Linked DNA regions of Arabidopsis thaliana. The protein of the gene in region 4 interacts with the protein of the main gene of each other region in a pairwise test. Each region holds a gene or a part of one and is shown on either strand. Other genes may lie near its edges.

Region 1 (7,930 bases), on a different chromosome or scaffold from region 4:
GCTAACTCCACATTTGCCCGCTTCAGCTCCTCTTGTAGACTCTCATGCTTCAACGAAGCTTCAGAGATTGTTTTCTCACGTTTTTCTAACTCCTCCTTTGCCCGGTTAAGTTTATTTTTGTCAGAGAGAAGCTTCCTCTCAGCATCGTGCAGGTCCTCTTCCCTTTTCAACAAGGCCACTAGCGCAGCCTCAAGGTCAGACTCAAGCACGCCAAGGTTTGAATAGGGGAGATCATCATCGTCAGGATAAACCGAGTGTTGATTGGTTTGTCTCTCCAATCTGTGTGTCCGAGCAAATAATTTATCGAAAAGAACATTTGCAGACTCAGCTGAGCCATTGTCGTTGATGTTGGGTCTTGTATTGTGCAAGACTGATTGAACACTCAGTAAAAGATGTCTCTTTCTCCTTGTAATGCTCGGGAATGCGACAAGACTCTTCTGCTTATGGTTTACTACTCTTGTCAAACAATACTGCATAAGAAAAAATCATATGGCCGACATCAAAATCAAAATCAAAAGTTTGATTATTTTGGACAGACACTAATCAATATGGATGCAAGCAAACTTATTCAAATTAAAGGAACAGTATTGAAATTTGCAATCTTTTTAAGCCAGAACAAGGAACAATCAGAACAAGGCCAGCAAAAGTCAAAAATTCAAGTTTGATAAAGTTAAGAGTAAGTAAAGTGTTGTGAATCAGCAGCGATATATAAATGAAAATATAGGGGATAATATAGAGAAAGGTAAGGAAACAAACATCGCAGGGAGAGGGAGAGGAGAAGGAAGCAAGATTCAAGCGAATGGCCTGAGAGAAACCCATCCTGAGAGCATAATTATGCAATCGCCATGGAGCTTAAAGACGGAACAAAACCCAAATCCACTGGATCAAATTTAACAAGTGGGCGTTTTGGAGAAGAATGCTTACGAGAACAAATCCAAGGAAGAAGAAGAAGAATCTAGCTAGGGAATGGATATTGTTACAAAATTCTTTTACCAAAAAAAAGGATACAAAATAATAAATAGAGGCTCGCGTTGGCTTGCGAGTTGTGGTCGCCAGTAAACTCGAAAGTCCTTTTTGCCCTTATTCATAAGATGCATGTCGGCATTGTCCAAATACACGGCCAAGGGATCTATTTGTAAAAATAATGGACTCTTCTTAATTACGTACGTGGTAACGGTTTTCTAGTATGACAATTCTCTTTCTTTCGCGTAGTCGGCTAGTCGCGTGGTTAGAAATGCTTACACACTAAAGAGTATGTTATATTAAACTGGAATATAAATTTAAGAAACTGAATAAAAGTCATCAGGCCCATGACATTGGCCCAATAGACCCAATGAAAAACCAATCCATCAGCTAGTTTTCTTAACATATCAACCCAACGAGGTTGTATCTTGTTACATTTGCAAGTGAACTTTTTTATCATTAAAAAATGTAACAATGGTATTTTTGGTTTAGTGTTCCTAAAATATTTGTTTCCCACATAAGATTTTATCTACACCAAATAGTCCAATTGTATAATATAATCCATCTTCACAAAAGCATTTTAAAGGATATCCTACCTTCTAAATTCCGGCGAAAAATATCTTAAATCTGAAAAAGTGATTTATCGTGAATAGTGTAATGTTAGCAAAATCTTAAACTTCAAAAAATCGTAAAACATAAAGAATTAAGTGTGACGGATTAATTAAGATATCGAAACCAACACAGTAATCCTCATCTATGACTTGGAAAAACTCATAAGTGGCAAGTGGAGTTCGAGTTTGGTCATTATTGTGAAACACCAAACCTAATCCACTTACAAATTCATTAAAAACTACAAATTTGTGTGGTAGTTTTTTTTTTTTTTTGGGAAATTTATGTGGTAGTTAATTAGTTAACAAACAATTATATATAAATACAAATTTTGTTTGGAGTTAGGTCCGCTTCAGCCTGCTTAAGCGATTCTAAGCTTAGTCGTATAATCGTATTAGCAAAAGCTCGAACAGTTTACTTCTTTACCCTGGAAAGTCTTATCATCATCAGTTCGTGTCGTTTGACTTTTTAAACTTTGCAAGGAAGGGTTTTGTGGTGGTTTGGGAGAATTAGGCAATTGTTGGTGATCCGATTTTTCTGGGTTTGGTTGGGTTCCTTTTTTATTTTTTAATAAAAAAAAAAAATGGCGGGTCAAGAGGATGAGTATGATCCAATTCTTGACAATAAAAGAGAAGCTGAAGCAAAATCTCAGGTTTCTGTTGCTGCTGATAAAAATATGGCTCCTTCTACTTCTGGTACTCCGATCCACAGATCAGGCTCTAGACCTCAGCTTGATCTAAGCAAAGCCGAAATTCAGGGGAACCTCGAGGAGAGAGATCCCACCATTTTATTGCCTAATCAGTCTGATGATATCTCTCATTTGGCTCTTGATATCGGAGGTGACAACAAATTTCACTTCTTTTTTATTTTCACTGTAGTTGACCATTGATCTAGTGCTTGTGGTTCTTCCAGTAGTATTTGGTGTCACTTCTTGGTTTTGGCAATTTCGATGTTTATTTCTTAAGTGCTATGTTTGAGAATTATGAACCCTTTTAAGTTTATTTGCAGGTTCTTTGATAAAGTTGTTGTATTTTTCACGACATGAGGACTACTCTAATGATGATGATAAGCGGAAGAGGACGATCAAGGAGAGATTGGGTATTACCAATGGCAACTTGAGAAGTTATCCTGTTCTTGGTGGTAGACTTCATTTTGTCAAGTTTGAGACTCACAAAATTAATGAGTGCTTGGATTTTATTCATTCCAAGCAGCTTCATCGCCGAGGTATTATTACTTTTATCCTTTTCAGTGTATGAAATGTTGTTTTGTATTATAAGATCAATTTCTGGTGATTTACTCTTCAATTCGTCTTCTTCTCCATTTCTTTTCAACTAAATGAATAGATCCTTATCCTTGGAGTTCAAAGACCTTGCCTTTGGGGACTGGTGTTATCAAGGTAATCGCATTTTTATGACTTGATTGTTTTTATCTTTATCACCTTTTGAGGCTCCTTCTGCATATATTTAGCTCGCTCTTTCATTTGAGATACCAGATAACATTTAAGACCCTCATAATTATTGTTTTTAGGTGAAACGTTTTTTATATTTATAAGTCTTGTATATCCATGTAATGTGATTTGCTGATTCGGCTTTGATTAGTTGATTATTACTTGTTTTAAACATATGAGTCAAGCGTACGTGTATCTTTCAGGTCACAGGTGGCGGGGCATTTAAATTTGCAGACTTGTTCAAGGAACGGCTGGGCGTTAGTATTGAGAAAGAAGATGAAATGCATTGTCTTGTTTCTGGAGCAAATTTTTTGCTCAAGGTAAGACCTTTCTTTATGCAACATTCCATTTATGTTGTCTCTGCATACATATTTGTACCTTTTATTACTAGCACTTGCGAAATAGAAACGTAAAGACAGACTCTCATTATATGTGACCGGTTGATTTGTTTGTTGAAGTTCTGAGTCACATGAGAGAAAAACAGCTGGATATCTGTATGTGTGTTTTACTATACTTAAAGTTCTGCTAAGACTATTGAAATTTTGCAATTAGTCTACTTTTCTTTTGTCTATTTGCATGTGTATGTTTTGAATTTATTCTTAGTTTCTTGCATTTTCTGCAGGCTATTCGACATGAAGCCTTTACGCACATGGAGGGTGAGAAAGAATTTGTACAGATAGATCCCAATGACTTGTATCCTTATCTTCTTGTGAACGTTGGATCTGGTGTTAGCATAATCAAGGTATTTGTTTACGTTTGCTACTTTTTTCACAATCAGTGTGTGTTTGGCTCCTTGAACTTCTGAATTGGGAGGTCAGAAGATTGCATGGACCTGTAGATTTCATGCAATGGCTTTTCAAAGTATAGGTTGATGGTGAAGGAAAGTTTGAACGTGTGAGTGGAACTAATGTTGGCGGTGGTACCTATTGGGGCTTAGGAAGACTTCTAACGAAGTGCAAGAGGTTACAGAGCTCTGATTTTACATTATTTCTTTATATTTTTGTTTCCTATACCTTACACTGTTTTCTTTTGTTTCAGTTTTGATGAATTGCTAGAACTCAGCCAAAAGGGAGATAATAGTGCCATTGACATGCTCGTTGGTGATATTTATGGTGGCATGGATTACTCCAAGGTAGGAGTCAACTTTGCATCAAACTACATGTGATCTCATTTGTTATAGGATGTGACTACTCTCCTATTGAAACTCAGAATGCTTTATTACTACTGTTCTAGTAATTCTCATTAATCAATCATACAGATTGGTCTCTCTGCTTCAACAATAGCTTCTAGTTTTGGCAAGGCGATATCTGAAAATAAGGAACTGGACGATTACAGACCTGAAGATATTTCCTTGTCTCTGTTGCGGATGATTTCATACAATATTGGGCAGGTATGCATTGGCGAGTCCAAAGGATTCAACGAAGTTCTTAAGCAAGAATAAGCCTAAATGTTTCTCATTTTTATTCCTAAGCATGATTCCATTTGGAAGTTTTGATCAGTGAATGTGATAAGTTATTGAGAATATTATGAGTTTCTGATTTGTTTTGTTGCTGTGTAGATATCGTACTTGAATGCCCTTCGCTTTGGGTTGAAGCGAATATTTTTTGGAGGATTTTTCATAAGGGGTCATGCATATACCATGGATACAATTTCATTTGCTGTACATTTCTGGTAACTTCACTTGTAAACTTGACCTAGATGTGATATGCGTACTCACCTTCTTCACTCAAACTTATTTATTTATTGCTTGACTACACTAGGTCTAAGGGAGAGATGCAAGCTATGTTCTTGAGACATGAAGGTTTTCTGGGTGCTCTAGGTGCGTTCATGAGCTATGAGAAGCACGGATTGGATGATTTAATGTCCCATCAGTTGGTTGAGAGGTTCCCAATGGGTGCACCATATACTGGAGGAAATATTCACGGACCACCACTCGGTGATTTGGACGAGAAGGTACGAAATTTAGCTTACGCTTTACCAAAGTCTCAGTTTGTTCTATTTAATACTTTGAAACTGACAGCCAAAAAAATTCCGTAATGACATGGGACTTCTCAAAATATGAAAGTGCGGGAATATGATACCATTTATGCCTTGTGCTGGGTAAAGTGTATGCTGGTTACCATTATAGTATTCTTTAGGCAGTTGCATTGTAGAATATGCTTTTCTTGAAATTGGAATCTTTTGGCAAATGTTTGATCTTCCATGGACTTACTGAATATTATGGCCGAAGGAGATGGTCGGATACTTTGAGACTGTTGAAGTGCACTATGACTTGTTCCTTTCCATGGTTTGTGTGCTGACTGAATTTTTTTGGATACTCAATCATTAATCTTGATGATTAGTCATAGTTTATGCTTGTATGGATATTTTTCGCTGTGAAGTTTACTGGTTCTTTCCTTTTTATATACAAAGTATCATTTTGTGTGACAAACGAATAATAGAAAGCAAGAGTAAGAAAAACCTCGTTTTCAAATCTGTCACAGTTATATTCTCTTTTCTTTTATGTATATATCAAAAACGAGATGGAATCAAGTGCTTTTTTCCCACTTTCCTTGTGCTAATGGTAGAGAGATATCACATCAACTAGTTATAAGTGTTGTGTGTCTTGACTCTGTTCTAGATAAGTTTTGGAGTTTAAAAAGGCTTTCCTGGTTGCTTTCAGATTTCGTGGATGGAGAAGTTTGTGCGTAGAGGAACTGAAATAACTGCTCCTGTACCAATGACTCCATCAAAAACGACTGGGCTTGGAGGGTTTGAAGTTCCATCATCCAGAGGTAGTGCTTTAAGATCTGACGCCAGTGCTTTAAATGTTGGTGTTCTCCATCTTGTGCCCACATTGGAGGTGTTCCCATTACTAGCTGATCCGAAAACGTAAGTGGCATGTCCCTGAGTAATGTATTGAGCTTGTACATATATGTCCTGGTTTGCTGCTTGTTCATGATTTTGGAGATTTTATGTTCGTGTGTTTAATCGATTTGTTTTACCCCAGGTATGAGCCTAACACGATTGATCTATCAGATCAAGGCGAACGAGAGTGAGTTATAAGTCGATGCTGATCTTCCAAACACTGGTTTTATTTGATGAAGTCACTTTTTCTTATATTGTTTATTTTCTGGTGGGGTATAGGTACTGGCTCAAAGTTTTGTCCGAGCATTTGCCAGACCTCGTTGATACGGTAACTGTTAAAGTTAACACATAGGATTTCTTTTCCATCTTCAGTAATGTTACTTTTTGGGTGGTGAAGATTCTTTAAGGCCTGGTACGTACTATTATTCTATGGACATGATTATAGGCTGTAGCAAGTGAAGGAGGAACCGAGGATGCGAAAAGGCGGGGTGATGCTTTTGCTCGTGCTTTTTCTGCTCATTTGGCAAGGTTTGGTTCATCACAACAGATACCTCTCTGTCAAGTCAAGGCTGTGCAATTTTGACCACAATCTATCAAACAGAAAATTCATAGTACAGCGCTTCAAGAAAAGCTTGTTTTTTCTGTGCTTTGCCTTTCACTGACAATTTTTTTGGTTGTAGATTAATGGAGGAGCCAGCTGCATATGGAAAGCTGGGGCTGGCAAATCTCTTGGAACTTAGGGAAGAATGCTTAAGAGAATTCCAGTTTGTTGATGCCTATAGAAGCATCAAGCAAAGGTAAAAGATAGTCTTATCTCTCCCCTGCTTTGAGTTGCTCTTATGCTCTCTCTTTCTTCGAAATTGATAGGGAGAACGAGGCATCACTTGCTGTTTTACCTGATTTACTTGAGGAGCTTGATTCGATGAGCGAGGTCTGTGACCTTTAACCTTCCTCTCTTTGTAGGTTTATGGTTTGCTACTAAACGTTTCAGTGCTATACATGAGACAACTTTTCTTACTTGGTGTTTCAATTGTGCTCGGATTTTTCAGGAGGCAAGGTTGCTTACACTTATAGAAGGTGTTCTTGCTGCAAACATATTTGACTGGGGATCTCGAGCATGTGTGGATCTATATCACAAAGGAACCATTATTGAAATATACAGAATGAGTCGCAACAAGATGCAGAGACCGTGGAGGGTGAGAGACAAGACCACCCTTTTTCCCCGCTGAGGTTACTTTTTCCTAACTGTTAATTTGAAGCTGGAAATCTTTTTTGGTCCGTAAAATCAGGTAGACGATTTTGATGCTTTCAAAGAAAGGATGCTTGGATCTGGAGGTAAGCAGCCTCATCGACATAAAAGAGCATTACTTTTTGTTGATAACTCGGGAGCAGATGTCATTCTTGGGATGCTTCCTCTTGCTCGAGAGTTTCTCCGTCGAGGGACTGAAGTACGTGTCTCTCTCTAGCTCTTCCTATAGTAATCTTCTCTTCACAAAATCAAATGCACAGACCAAATGATTTCATTGTGAAATTAGTTGAGGAAACACTAAACAAAATGTTATTATGATTCCCCAGGTTGTTCTAGTGGCAAACTCTCTTCCTGCTCTTAACGACGTGACCGCTATGGAACTGCCTGATATAGTCGCTGGGGCTGCTAAGGTTTAACTTTCGATTCTGTGCAGTGTTTATGATGTTCTTTCATGTAACTAACTCTTTTGTTCGGTCTTTACTCTTGAAGCACTGTGACATCTTGAGGAGAGCGGCAGAAATGGGAGGCTTACTTGTGGATGCGATGGTAAATCCAGGGGATGGATCAAAGAAGGATTCAACGTCAGCACCATTGATGGTTGTTGAAAATGGATGTGGAAGTCCTTGTATCGACCTCAGACAAGTCAGCTCTGAGCTTGCAGCCGCTGCCAAAGACGCTGATCTTGTATCTACAAAACCTTCTCTGTTTTCTACCTGACATAAACTTCAAACACATCAAAAAAGAGAAGCTTTGTTCTTTATTTGATGTTTAACAATATTGCAGGTTGTCTTGGAAGGTATGGGAAGAGCACTTCA
Region 2 (4,402 bases), on a different chromosome or scaffold from region 4:
ATTGTCCCAAGACCACTTATAGTTCCAACAAGAAGTCTGGCACCACTTTCATTTCCCGGAGGCGATTCAGTGCCATGATTAGATCCTTCATCTGAATTGAGGAAAACGTGTATAAGATCGTGATCACCCTCAATTTGTTTCTTTTCATGATACCCTTTTGGGGGAACCCTAATGGCTGTAGCAACAACTCTTCCAGATACATGCAGCTGAATATCTTTATACGCATCAGAAACATGGTTTTTACTTCTTGAAGATTGTATATGAGATATCTGAAGACCAATCCTTTCAGCAGACATCATGTCATTGTTGCCTTTCTCAACTGCTTGACCAAGGTCCGAATCCATAAACGACGACAAAGCCAATTTCTTTGAGCAAGCAGAAGAAAGCTCAAGGAAGTTATCAACCAAGGAAACCATACCAAAAAGATCCCGTCCTGATACCAAATGCAAAACCTCTCGTGTATCATACACAGACCTTTCCTCAGCTTCAAAACAATCAGGAAGAAGCTCAACAGATTCAACATCAGGCCCAAAGTAGGCCGCTCGTATAGCTGAATAAAAATCTTCTTCAAGTTCATCTAAGTAACCAGTACCATTTGCTACTCTCTTCTCCAATACTATATCATGTATTGCTTCTCTATACCACTTTAACCATTCAACTACTTCCATCTCTTGACTCAATGTCAATCCTGTTTTATACCTGTGAATCATATAACCTTGTCCCGAGTGCTTCTTCATTACCATTCTCCGAGATAGCAAATATCTATCATAGTGTGCTCTCTTTTCAGAATCTGATAGAATCTGTATCATCACCACAAATCATTCATCAGACACTTCTAAAGCTATAACTCTATCACAAAAGCTTGAAAAGCTTGAAATTTTCGATTTTGAAACTAATCATAAGAGTGAAGAGTGAAGCTTTCTTCATTGTACCTCATAAGCAGCGAGAATCTGAACGAATCGTCTCGAATTTGATGGATCTTTCTTGGATTCGATCAGATCAGGATGAGTCTCCTTGGCGAGTCTGCGAAATGATGCTTTGATCTCTGCGATTGAGCTGGTTTCGGAGACATTCAAGATATCGTAAGCGTTCTCCACCGGAAACTCGTTCCGATTGGACTCAGCCTCGCCGCTCAGCAACCGAGTTCTTCCTTGACTCGGGTTAAAGAGAATTCGCGACGGTTCGAAACCGTAATTCAGTTGAACCGGAACTAATCTACTAAAACGCCGGCGTATCAACCCGGCGAGAATCGTCATTTCACGACCAGTATGGTTTACTCAGGTGGGAACGGAGACCGGAAGTGGAAAGAGGATAACGGCACGCCGATGACACGTGGGTCTCTCGATTTCACGCCACGTCATCACGAGTTCAGACTTTATTGGTCAACAGTAAAAACGGTCTTAGGAAAGAGAGAACATGAAGCCATATTACACTAAATGGGCCTTGAATTTTAATGGGCCAGGATCCTCTCACAGATATTTTTGACTCTTAAAATGATGAGGAAGTGGATGTGAATACGTGGTCGTATACTCACCATGGCATTCCATGAATAATTAATGTCTTCTAACTTCTAAATGATCGAAAAGTACTGACAAGTTAAAGTCAAGCAGAAAAAAACAAATATTATGAGGTTTTTAGATGCTATATTCATTGCAAGTTGTATACATGCGAAATTTAACTAGTGTTGTTAAAATAATAATTATATCAGCTTTTGACTATTTGCTGCCACTCTTTGAATGATTGAAACTAATTTTCTTTCGCATTAATGCATTGTTGAAATTCATGCACAAAATTAAAAATAATTGGTTCATGTATTTGTAACCCAATGTAACAATTTTATTGTTGAACAGAAGTCAGTAACTCCACGTCATGTACTCCATTAAATGTTCCAAAATATTTTGGGCTTGATTCCAAAAAACAAATTATCACGAATAGCGATGTTTGACAATCCAACAAACATGGTTCCATTCACCTTTTTTTGCCACCTGTAAATCGCGATATTTTAAATAATTTATTTCCTCTTCCACAGATACGAATTTTTTTATAAAGAATAATACGTAACACTCTAAAACAACACAAATATCATAATTTCTCCACGAACTGACTAAGAGAGGTACCAAGAAGAAAACCAGAGAAGAATCTTCTTTAGAGAGATGGGTGTGGTAGAAGAAGCTCACAACGTGAAGGTGATTGGTTCAGGAGAAGCCACGATCGTGTTAGGTCACGGGTTCGGCACGGACCAGTCAGTATGGAAACACTTGGTTCCACATCTGGTCGACGATTACCGCGTCGTCCTCTACGACAACATGGGAGCCGGTACGACCAACCCTGACTATTTCGACTTCGATCGTTACTCAAATCTCGAAGGCTACTCTTTCGATTTGATTGCAATCTTGGAAGATCTCAAGATTGAGTCTTGTATCTTTGTTGGCCACTCTGTTTCTGCCATGATTGGTGTCTTGGCTTCTCTTAACCGTCCTGATCTCTTCTCCAAAATCGTCATGATCTCTGCTTCTCCGAGGTATAACTTTTTCACAAGTTGTACATAGAAATATGTTTTGCTTTTTATCTCATCCTGACATAGTTTAGACAAAAGGGCTTCTCTGTTCCTTCTCTTGTCTGATTTCATAAAAACTATTAAACATTACAATTTAAATAAAAAAAAATCATCTTAAGTCCTTAAATTTACACAATTATCTATTATTTCGAAATATTTATTTCTCATTCTGACATAATTTCGACAAAGTGCCTCTTTGTTTATCCTCTTGTCTGAATTATCCTATTTCTCAAAATCAGTGAAGCATTTCATTATATATTTCAATAAAAATCCGTAAATTATGAACAAAAAATCATGAAATACCCATTTGTTTATTTGTTTTTTTTTATTTGGTTTTACTGAGGTGTTACTTACACTTTTTTTAAAAAAAATTGTTGAAACGGTGCTCACACAGTATATTATATATTTTAATTTTCTTCTGACAAAAGAAACATATATAATCAAATTATATTGTTTTGGTACGTTTATAGATACGTAAACGATGTTGATTACCAAGGTGGATTCGAACAAGAAGACTTAAACCAACTATTCGAAGCCATCCGAAGCAACTACAAAGCGTGGTGCTTAGGTTTCGCTCCACTCGCCGTCGGTGGCGACATGGACTCCATCGCCGTTCAAGAATTCAGCAGAACACTCTTCAATATGCGTCCCGACATAGCTCTCTCCGTCGGCCAGACCATTTTCCAAAGTGACATGAGACAGATCTTACCTTTTGTCACTGTTCCGTGTCACATTCTCCAAAGTGTTAAGGACTTAGCTGTACCAGTCGTTGTCTCCGAGTATCTTCACGCCAATCTTGGCTGTGAATCCGTCGTCGAGGTTATTCCTTCTGATGGTCATCTTCCTCAGCTTAGCTCACCAGATTCTGTTATTCCTGTCATCCTCCGTCACATTCGTAATGACATTGCTATGTGATTGTAAGAGATTTAATTAGTTAATTATTAAACGATGTAAGAAAAGTTGAAAAAAAATATCTGATGTGATATGTCTGTCTAGTCTATTGAGAACATTATTTCGTTGTCGTTTGGTTCTGATTCGTTTATCTTGAGTATCTTGATCTTTGTTGTTCTTATCTTGTTTAACGAAAAGTCTCTGTCTTTTGTCCACAGCTTTGCTCAGAGCTCATTATTGCTTGATGTAATAGTGATGTTCGTAATTGATGGTCCATAGTGAATTATTGCAACTTTGCAAGAGTGCTTGTGCTATACTGTGTGAAGAGTAATTAACATGTGATACTAGGAATTAGCATTGAGTTTGCATTTATGGATGGGTAATCCAAACCATAAAACATACATATTGTGATGGTTTTGAAATTTGTTTGTTTGTGAACAAAAATTAGCCAAGTTTTAAACAAAGTAAAATGAAAATTTAGGGTTTTGAATTAGGATGGAGTTAAGTCATATTTTGTTAGGTTTGTTTGCTTATGAAATTATGGATTTGTTTGATGTTATTATAGGGATGCGGTGCAAAAGATATTGTTTTCTATATTATCATTTATCACTAATAACTTTCAAATTTTATTGACGCGCCTGCTCAGATTTTATTCGATTTGTTGTTTATGAAATTAGTTATAGATTGGTAAGTAAATAGCTTTAAAAAATTAGTGATACAAAACAAAATGGTAAATATTGTATTGCTTCTTACTAGTCAATACTATGATTAAACTTCCATTTTATAATTCACTTTATATAAAACTTCTATTTATTTTCTTAAAATTATTTTATTATTGAAATTTAAATATCATTTGGTACAATATTATTTCTTCATCACTAGTCAAATACTATGATTAGCCTACCCAAAAAAAAAGTCAAATACTATGATTAAACTTCCATTTTTTTAAAATTC
Region 3 (3,365 bases), on a different chromosome or scaffold from region 4:
AGTTATTATGAAACAGACTAACACTTCTTTTGGTTGTGTGCCAAAACAGTTGGTTCTAGCGAATCCAGGACCGCCGGTCATAAATAAGCTACATGTTTCTCACTTTGCGGACTTGATAGGACACGACAAAATCTTTCTGACGGTGGCTGAGGCCGTGGATTCTTGCTCCCCTAAACTGTCCGACGAGGTCTGATCCGGAGAAGAAGAATCTTGATGATGAAGCAAAATGATATAAAGTGTTGTATGTTGTATAGACTGAATTGAGTAGTCAGTGACTTTGCTCTGTTTATCTTTTATCTATCCCCAATCGTGTGACGTAGAGGTCAAGTGTAAAAGTTGACCTATATAGAGCTTTTTTTAGAGTCGTGATAAGCTTGGATTTACTGGATTAGTTTTCGTTATTGTTTTCAATAACTTTGAACTATAGAGATTATATAATAAGTTATAATATATAAACGAATAAAATCGGAACCCAAACATTAACATCTGATCAACGTAATGCAACGAGCGACTTTATTGCTACTATTATTGGTGGGGAAACCTTGACAAAACGTTTTGTGTTCAAGATTCGAACATTGAAAAAAAAAACAATGAAAACATTTCTCCGTAAATAATTATGTGTGGACCAGAAGTTGAAACCCACTTGTGTACACAATAAACTAGATTAAGACCTTTGTTTATTTAAAATAATAATGGCTTAGACGTCTAAGCGTTAGACGGTCGTTATCTAGATATCAATTTTCTTCATGTATTATTATCTAGTTGATAGACCTAGTTTGATGTTTTAGGTGCCTATTAGATACGTTTGGCAATCGATCTGTTTTTTTAAATATAAATTAACTATAAAATCATAAACCATTATATTTTAAACGAATTTGACTAAAACAATTTAACCACCGTGCAAATAGAATTATAAAACCGTCTGTAAAAAAAAAAAACTCACATCTCTTCTCGAAAACATTAATTGAGAAATAAAAATGGTACAAAACGTAAGATTTTGAGACCGACCATTTTGTACAATGTGCCAACTCTGTTGTACTGTAATCGAGTGTCCCCAAATGCACCAATCAAAACGAGTTAGCACTTAGCACTACTTGTTTTTTGTGCATATTTTTTATAACAAAAAACAAAAGATGCTAAGGACTATCAATCAATCAATGTTCCATCAAATGATAATAATAAAAAACTGTTTTGTTTTGTCATAAAATTTTGAAATGGTATTATAAATGGGAGGTCAAGTGATATTGAAATTTGGCTTGGGAAGTGGTGAAACGTTGGAGGCCCTTTTTACTATTGTAAAGAGACATATCGGTCACAGAAGTGGACAATGTAGCCCAGAAGTTAGGAGCTATAATACAACATTTTCACTTTATTTCTCATCCATTTTTAAAACTTTTCACTTTTTTTCCTCAAATTTTACTATTTTATATAAATGTCATCGATGGATAAACTAATGAGTGATTCAGCCAAATATTTTGAATAACTTTATTTTTTTATTTTTTTATTTTTTTTATTTTTTTATTTTTTTATTTTTTTTATTTTGAATAACTTGAGTTTAACTAAGATTTCAGATGATTTTAAGTGAATTTATGGAACAAAGATTTGCTAATTTATTAGTTTAATAGCCTTACATTTTAAGACATATCTATAAATAAAATAACTAATAACAAGTATTTAGCAAAAAAACAAACTAATAACAACAAGTTTTTTAAGAGTTTAAATTTGCTTGATTGTTATTCTAAATAATACAATTTCAATTGTATGATTGAATACACCTACACAAAATAATTGATTTAAGAAAAAGAAGAAGACAAAATAATTTGTGAAAGAAGAAGAAAAAAAAAGCAATAATAACGAATAAAATAAACACTTAAAGAATCGGAATCATGACGTGTCGTAATTAAAACGGGAATAGAATCGATCAGACAAACTCAACGGCTCAGATTAACTCCTCAGTTTATGGCTCTTCTTTTATCTTCTCTGTCTCCTCTTTTCTCACTTCCCTCTTTCTCTCTTTCACTTTGCTCTGTTCACTCAGAGCATCAAATAAACAAAAGAGAGAAACCAAAACCACACAAGACTAACGATGTTGCTAGGGAAGAGACAGAGACCACCAATAAAGAGAACCACGAGTCTATCTGAGATTAAGTTCGATTTGAATCAACCTAGCGAACAAGAACCATCCGATCATCAGATTCAGCTTGTGAACGTTGATGAACATCGTCAAGTTCATCAAAGATTGTTAGATCAACGGCTTTTAGCGATGGTCTCACCAAGAGGTACACAGAGAAGACACTCAAGTGATTATTCTGAAGATTTTCTAAGATCTTGCTCTCTTTGTAAACGTCTTCTTGTTCATGGCCGTGACATCTATATGTATAGGTATGAGTTTAGGACCTAAAGATTAATCTCATGGTTTTGGTTTGATTAGATATGTAATTAACGATTTGGTTTTGGTTGTTAAATTATGAGCAGAGGAGATAGAGCGTTTTGTAGTTTAGAGTGCAGGCAACAACAAATTACAGTGGACGAGAGGAAGGAGAAGAAGAAAGGTTCGGTGAGGTCCACCATCGTCGTCGCCACCGGAACCACCACAGGAGAGAGAGTTTCCGCCGCCGTGTAGGTCTCTTTTACATATGTTATATATTATCGGTAATGATTGTATTATATGGTTCTTGTTTTATGTATAAAAAGCATTGAGCACTATTGACTGTGATTAACCATGTTAATCATCCTTTAAACCTTGCTTTTGATCTTAAGAATTATTGTATTATGCATATTAATTAGATTTGTGTTCTACTGATTATTCTACTTCTAACTATCTGATTAATTACCATTAAAAGATAAAGATTTATTGTGTGGAGATTAGATATATCACACCATTTCAATTCTTTTTACAGTCAGTAATTGACAAATCAAGAAAATTCGAAATCGTATTTGTGAAAATTGTATACCAACTTAATATATTGATATACAAGTTTGTACCTTATGTACTGTGGATTTCATGTATATCAACCCACCAAAAATATATATTTACCGTACTGTTTTAACTTCATGCTTACTTTCGAATATAAGGAATTAAGGATGATCCAATAGAATTTCTTCATTTTCTGTTGTATTGAAACAAAAAAAAATGAATATTTGAATATGATTTTGGTCAAGTAAGGAATCTCATACCTATTCAGCCTAGCATTGACTGGTCCCTCATTGTAACATTTTAAGAGATTCTTACTTTTTTGCATGTCTCAGTTTTGATAGATTCCTAATGGCTAATGCTCTCCTTTTGCTTCATAAAAGAATTCTTGTTTTAAGCAAAATATTCTTTAGGAAAAACCAACCAATAAGTTCATAACTTTTATTTTTCA
Region 4 (5,732 bases):
ATGCAAGGATTCATTTCTCATAGCCAGATTGAGAAATCTGCATGTATCAAGCTTCTAATCTTTACTGTATGGAACAGTTTCTTTGCAAATGTACTGTCCGGATCTGCCCTTTATCGTGTTAATGTGTTCCTTGAACCTAAGACTATTCCTCGTGTGCTTGCTGCAGCTGTGCCAGCACAGGTAAAGAACACAAAATTCAGTATTGAGGTTTCCGGAATTCCCTTTTCGTACCACGAGTCATGTTTATTGTTTAATCTTTGGTGTAGGCATCGTTCTTTGTATCTTATGTTGTGACCTCTGGATGGACTGGTTTATCATCAGAGATCCTCCGTTTGGTTCCTCTTCTTTGGAGTTTCATAACGAAACTTTTCGGCAAGGAAGATGACAAAGAATTTGAGGTTCCTTCAACTCCTTTCTGCCAAGAAATCCCAAGGATTCTATTTTTTGGACTCCTCGGTATAACTTACTTCTTCCTTTCGCCATTGATACTGCCTTTCTTGTTGGTCTACTATTGTCTTGGATATATCATCTACCGCAACCAGGTAACGGAACCAATCTCACTCCTAAGTATAATTCTCTGTTGATCTCTGATAAAATCATATAGGAATCAGCTACACATATTTTCGTTATATGGAATCTCACTTTTATCTTCTCTTTATATGTGATCCCTTTTCTAAATTCTCGAATAGCATCTTTAAACCGAAAGTATTTTTTGGAGCTTCAGTCATGACATAAACGTTACATCAAGAATCCATTTTCTCGTCACATAATTCTTTTTCTTCTTAATGAATCCATTGCAACTTGTTGATAGAAATAACATCACCTTTTTGTGCTGCAGCTCCTAAACGTATATGCGGCCAAGTATGAAACTGGTGGAAAGTTTTGGCCAATAGTTCACAGCTATACTATCTTCTCTTTGGTACTAATGCACATTATTGCAGTCGGATTATTCGGGCTTAAAGAGCTTCCAGTGGCATCTTCTTTAACAATTCCCCTTCCGGTTCTCACGGTCCTTTTCAGCATTTACTGCCAAAGACGGTTTTTACCAAATTTCAAATCTTATCCTACCCAGGTAAAGGCTTTAGAGAAATAGTTACTCATATTTTTGATCCAATGGAAGAAAAATATGGCTAGATAATCTTTTATTCCTAACCTAAACAAAACAAACAGAACATGATGCATAGTCCTTTATTACATTACAGCATCTACTCTAAACCTTTATATGGTGATGATGGATGTTTTACTTTTGCAGTGTCTGGTAAACAAAGATAAAGCAGACGAGAGAGAGCAAAACATGTCTGAATTCTATTCGGAACTCGTTGTTGCTTACCGAGATCCTGCACTTTCGGCATCACAGGACTCGAGAGATATCTCACCTTGAGATCACCTTTTTACTTGAGCTATTGAAGTTTGCTTATGTTGAAGCTGTTGGTTTACTATACCTGGTGCAATCCATGAAAGAACACACTAAACCGGTTGTCTTGTACATTGGGTCTTAACCGAGAATCAAGCGGTTTTTGTCTTGTACATTTGCTTACACTTGGCTTGTGTAAAAAAGAAAAAAAGTTTATGTCAATGTATCTCTCTAAACCGGTTTAAGACGGTACAAACTTTTTGAAAGATGCCAAAACAAAACGGTGGTTAATAATTTTACCACAGAGAATATTTAGCAAAAAGATGATGACTAGATGCCACGTCCGCATGGGGGTATATATTGTAATTAGTCGTAACTCTGGGGGTAATTTAGTTAAAGATTGATCCGTTTATGGAACCAAAAATCAAATAATTTCGTCTTTGATACTTGCTTGCGCCTTATAGGCTACAGGAGCGAGAGCAATGAAAGCGAGAGGAAGAATCTATCAATAATTTCTGGGTTTAAGCTGATCTCTGGATCTTCCTCAATTTTACTTTTTCAGCTCAGAAAATTTTGGGACTTTTTTTTGCTGCATTTTTTGGTTCCGAATTTTCTCCTCCGCCTTTTTTAATTTTTGGTAAGTTTCGATATCTCTCAATTTTCTTATTTCGGAAATAAAAAAAATTCTCGCCCTTTTGCAAATCAATGGATTGATCTTGAAATCGTCATTTCTGAATCGGGTACGAGAGATCCAGTAATCCTCTGCGATTGAATTATTATTAGGGTTCATATTCCGAATTGGGGATAGTCTGAAAATTGCTATTTTAAGCTCTCTTCTTAGTGTTGGTTGGTTTATTCTGGATAATAAAAGGGATCCTAATTCTCGCTAAATTCTCATGTTCAAACGAGTAGATGAGTTTAATTTAGTTTCTTCAACGATCGATCACAGAATCTTCAAAAGTGTAAAAATTACTTGCTTTTTGTTCCTATTACTCTTTTGCAGTTTGTTTTGTGTGTTGTGTACTAGTAGATCTAATATCTCTCTCTCTTTTTTTGTAGAGAATGGATGGATCAGGCACAGGCAGTAGAAGTGGGGTAGAATCGATTCTACCAAATTACAAGCTTGGGAGAACTCTTGGTATTGGTTCCTTTGGTAGGGTGAAGATAGCTGAGCATGCATTGACAGGACATAAGGTTGCTATCAAGATCCTCAATCGTCGCAAAATCAAGAACATGGAGATGGAGGAGAAAGGTACAAGTTTTGTTTTGTGTATCCATTCCACCTTAGTTGTGACTTCACGGTACTCTTGGAATATATAAATATATAGCTTCTTTTTCGTCTTCCTTCCTTTGAACTTATTTGGTCTTTGATGCAGTGAGGAGAGAGATCAAAATCTTGAGACTATTTATGCATCCTCACATCATCCGTCTCTATGAGGTTATAGAGACTCCCACAGATATTTATCTTGTCATGGAGTATGTGAACTCTGGTGAGCTATTTGACTATATTGTTGAGAAGGGTAGATTGCAGGAGGATGAGGCGAGGAACTTTTTTCAGCAGGTATGTTTTTATTTTATTTTATCAACATGTAACTTTCCAAGCAACCATTCGATTTTATATTATATTTGAGAGTTAAGAATTAGCTACTTGGCTTTGATGTAGATAATATCAGGAGTGGAATACTGCCATCGAAACATGGTGGTTCACAGAGACCTCAAGCCTGAAAACTTGCTTTTGGACTCTAAATGCAATGTAAAGATTGCTGATTTTGGCCTGAGCAACATAATGCGAGATGGTCATTTTTTGAAGACAAGTTGTGGAAGTCCAAATTATGCCGCTCCAGAGGTAAGTGCTTCAGCCCTCAGGTATCTGAGGAATACTATAATTAGGCTTGTTTCAAATGATAGGTTATAGTCGAGATCTATAAATTGTTTCAGGTAATTTCGGGCAAGTTATATGCTGGCCCTGAAGTAGATGTCTGGAGCTGTGGTGTGATACTCTACGCTCTTCTCTGTGGGACGCTTCCATTTGATGATGAAAACATTCCCAACCTTTTTAAGAAGATAAAGGTACATTCTATTACTCCTCCTCTTTCGTCTATTTGAACTAATGCTTGAATTTTTTATTTTATTTTTCGTATCACCCTTCGACTGTAACCTTTTTTTTTTCTCTTTTCGTCCTATAGGGAGGGATATACACATTACCTAGCCATTTATCTCCTGGTGCTAGAGATTTGATCCCCCGGATGCTTGTAGTTGACCCCATGAAACGAGTAACCATCCCTGAGATCCGGCAACACCCTTGGTTCCAAGCTCATCTTCCGAGGTATTTAGCTGTTCCTCCTCCAGATACTGTGCAACAGGCAAAAAAGGTAAGCCTAACGTATCTACTCTTATTTTCATTAGAGAAATCTCTATTCCCATTTTTCGATAAAGGCGTAAAAGCGCTGTCTTCATTTGTAGATTGACGAGGAGATTCTCCAAGAAGTTATCAATATGGGATTTGACAGAAACCACCTCATCGAATCGCTCCGCAACCGAACCCAGAATGATGTATGTGTTTCCCACCCACTTGTTCTTTTGCTGTTTCTTTCATTTCAAAGATTAAAAAAAATTCCATCAAAAGATCTTAAATACTGTATTCTTACCGACTGTCTTCCAGGGCACTGTGACGTACTATCTGATACTGGACAATCGTTTCCGTGCCTCTAGTGGTTATCTCGGGGCTGAGTTTCAAGAGACCATGGTTAGTCTTTTTTGTCCTTTTCGACTTTAGCAAAAGATCTTTGACGTAATGCTTCATTGTTTGATTTAATCAGGAAGGTACTCCCCGTATGCATCCAGCAGAAAGCGTTGCTTCACCTGTTAGCCATCGGCTTCCAGGACTGATGGAATATCAAGGAGTTGGCTTGAGATCTCAATACCCTGTTGAGAGAAAATGGGCTCTTGGACTTCAGGTTTTGATATTTTCTGTATTTATGGTATAAAGACTTCAGCTTTTGATATATATGTGATTAATATTGTAACAATTTGATCGCACAGTCTCGGGCTCATCCCCGTGAAATAATGACGGAAGTCCTGAAAGCCCTGCAAGATTTGAATGTATGTTGGAAGAAGATAGGGCACTACAACATGAAGTGCAGATGGGTTCCTAACAGCAGCGCAGATGGTATGCTCAGTAACTCGATGCACGATAACAACTACTTTGGAGACGAGTCCAGCATAATAGAGAACGAAGCAGCTGTTAAGTCGCCCAATGTTGTCAAGTTTGAAATTCAGGTAAATCCTCTTCTCCACTTCATGATACATATCGGTTTCCCGTACGACATTGTTTCTGATGTGTGATTTCGAGTGAAAGAAAGCTTTGTGTATTAGTGTCCATGGCCATTTTTGTAACTGAATTAGAACTAGAGTGAATCTTCATGAATCTAACTATCAATCAATATTTTCTGGGCTTGATGACGTTTGTTATTGTTGATGGTGAAACAGTTGTATAAAACTCGGGACGACAAGTATCTACTGGATTTGCAGAGAGTACAAGGTCCTCAGTTCTTGTTCTTGGATCTGTGTGCTGCTTTTCTTGCTCAGCTCCGAGTCCTCTGAATACTAAACCGGACCTCTTCAAGAATAATCCCCACTTATTCCTTTTTTTTTTTTTTTCTTATTCGTCTAAGAAATTATTTAGAAAACGTAACCCTTTTTTTCTTCTTCTCTTTCTTTCTATTTCTATATGCGTGCTCTACTCAAATACCTCTTTTAACTTAAATGTAAGACTGAGCAAGAGTAAAAAAAAGACACTTTGTACATAACTTGTAGTGCATCATGCCACCAAGATTGATTTTTGTTTTTGTTTACTCCATATTTCTTATGATTAAAATCAATAAGTTAAGGGAAAGACATTTTGACAAAAATTGAAGGAAAGATGTTTAAATTAGTTTCATTGAAAACAAATTAGCAAATTCAGAAGTAGTTGTTTTTGTTTCGTGTATTATTTGATGGGTCAATATTACACTATATTTTTTGTGTAAACAAATTAGCAAATTCAAAAATAGTTGTTTTTTGTTTTTGTCATCCTACTAATATTAAGACATTGAAAAACGAACATTTAGGATGAGCTTGATGTGTTTATTTCGAACTAAGATCCAAAAACTATACAAACTCAAAAACAAGCCCAAAAAGAATTTCAAAAGTTTCCAACGTGTGGTTTTACCTACCAGTTAATCTTCTCCTGCAAAAAAAAAAAAAACACATCAAGTGTGAGATAAACTCTCACAAAAATACAAGGAAATTTGTAATAATAATAAAAAAAGACACAATTATCTTTTGGTAAACCTGAAATTGAATAATTTCACACTGACTTGGGCTTTTTTTTTTAAAT

The links.
Region 1: the proteins of KIN10 (region 4) and PANK2 interact in binary tests that used the Arabidopsis thaliana proteins (3 or more experiments, as listed by UniProt).
Region 2: the proteins of KIN10 (region 4) and KAI2 interact in binary tests that used the Arabidopsis thaliana proteins (3 or more experiments, as listed by UniProt).
Region 3: the proteins of KIN10 (region 4) and AT1G22160 interact in binary tests that used the Arabidopsis thaliana proteins (3 or more experiments, as listed by UniProt).

What each region holds. Positions count from the first base shown.
Region 1 is NC_003075.7:15,537,941-15,545,870, reverse strand, and holds the start of PANK2 (pantothenate kinase 2), read left to right. Parts: upstream 1-1,916; 5' UTR 1,917-2,155; coding exon 2,156-2,411; intron 2,412-2,580; coding exon 2,581-2,796; intron 2,797-2,915; coding exon 2,916-2,968; intron 2,969-3,222; coding exon 3,223-3,339; intron 3,340-3,641; coding exon 3,642-3,761; intron 3,762-3,886; coding exon 3,887-3,981; intron 3,982-4,057; coding exon 4,058-4,151; intron 4,152-4,277; coding exon 4,278-4,409; intron 4,410-4,577; coding exon 4,578-4,690; intron 4,691-4,779; coding exon 4,780-4,972; intron 4,973-5,681; coding exon 5,682-5,890; intron 5,891-6,008; coding exon 6,009-6,053; intron 6,054-6,145; coding exon 6,146-6,194; intron 6,195-6,311; coding exon 6,312-6,394; intron 6,395-6,546; coding exon 6,547-6,663; intron 6,664-6,733; coding exon 6,734-6,797; intron 6,798-6,915; coding exon 6,916-7,062; intron 7,063-7,155; coding exon 7,156-7,314; intron 7,315-7,441; coding exon 7,442-7,525; coding exon of another isoform or gene 7,526-7,531; and 4 more. Other genes in the region: AT4G32190 (Myosin heavy chain-related protein), read right to left, coding at 1-470, 757-819. UniProt on the Arabidopsis thaliana protein: Catalyzes the phosphorylation of pantothenate the first step in CoA biosynthesis. May play a role in the physiological regulation of the intracellular CoA concentration. Functionally redudant with PANK1.
Region 2 is NC_003075.7:17,616,115-17,620,516, reverse strand, and holds KAI2 (alpha/beta-Hydrolases superfamily protein), read left to right. Parts: upstream 1-1,860; 5' UTR 1,861-2,153; coding exon 2,154-2,521; intron 2,522-3,027; coding exon 3,028-3,472; 3' UTR 3,473-3,858; downstream 3,859-4,402. Other genes in the region: AT4G37480 (Chaperone DnaJ-domain superfamily protein), read right to left, coding at 1-800, 933-1,256.
Region 3 is NC_003070.9:7,821,152-7,824,516, forward strand, and holds AT1G22160 (senescence-associated family protein (DUF581)), read left to right. Parts: upstream 1-1,914; 5' UTR 1,915-2,086; coding exon 2,087-2,382; intron 2,383-2,475; coding exon 2,476-2,623; 3' UTR 2,624-2,820; downstream 2,821-3,365. Other genes in the region: SULTR1;3 (sulfate transporter 1;3), read left to right, coding at 50-193.
Region 4 is NC_003074.8:30,662-36,393, reverse strand, and holds KIN10 (SNF1 kinase homolog 10), read left to right. Parts: upstream 1-1,906; 5' UTR 1,907-2,250; coding exon 2,251-2,316; intron 2,317-2,413; coding exon 2,414-2,606; intron 2,607-2,730; coding exon 2,731-2,915; intron 2,916-3,017; coding exon 3,018-3,200; intron 3,201-3,292; coding exon 3,293-3,424; intron 3,425-3,540; coding exon 3,541-3,726; intron 3,727-3,817; coding exon 3,818-3,907; intron 3,908-4,016; coding exon 4,017-4,100; intron 4,101-4,173; coding exon 4,174-4,311; intron 4,312-4,396; coding exon 4,397-4,633; intron 4,634-4,843; coding exon 4,844-4,957; 3' UTR 4,958-5,213; downstream 5,214-5,732. Other genes in the region: HYP1 (hypothetical protein 1), read left to right, coding at 1-180, 267-542, 839-1,072, 1,253-1,381; AT3G01085 (Protein kinase superfamily protein), read right to left, coding at 5,572-5,582. UniProt on the Arabidopsis thaliana protein: Catalytic subunit of the probable trimeric SNF1-related protein kinase (SnRK) complex, a central regulator of cellular energy homeostasis, which, in response to seemingly unrelated darkness, sugar and stress conditions, activates energy-producing pathways and inhibits energy-consuming processes.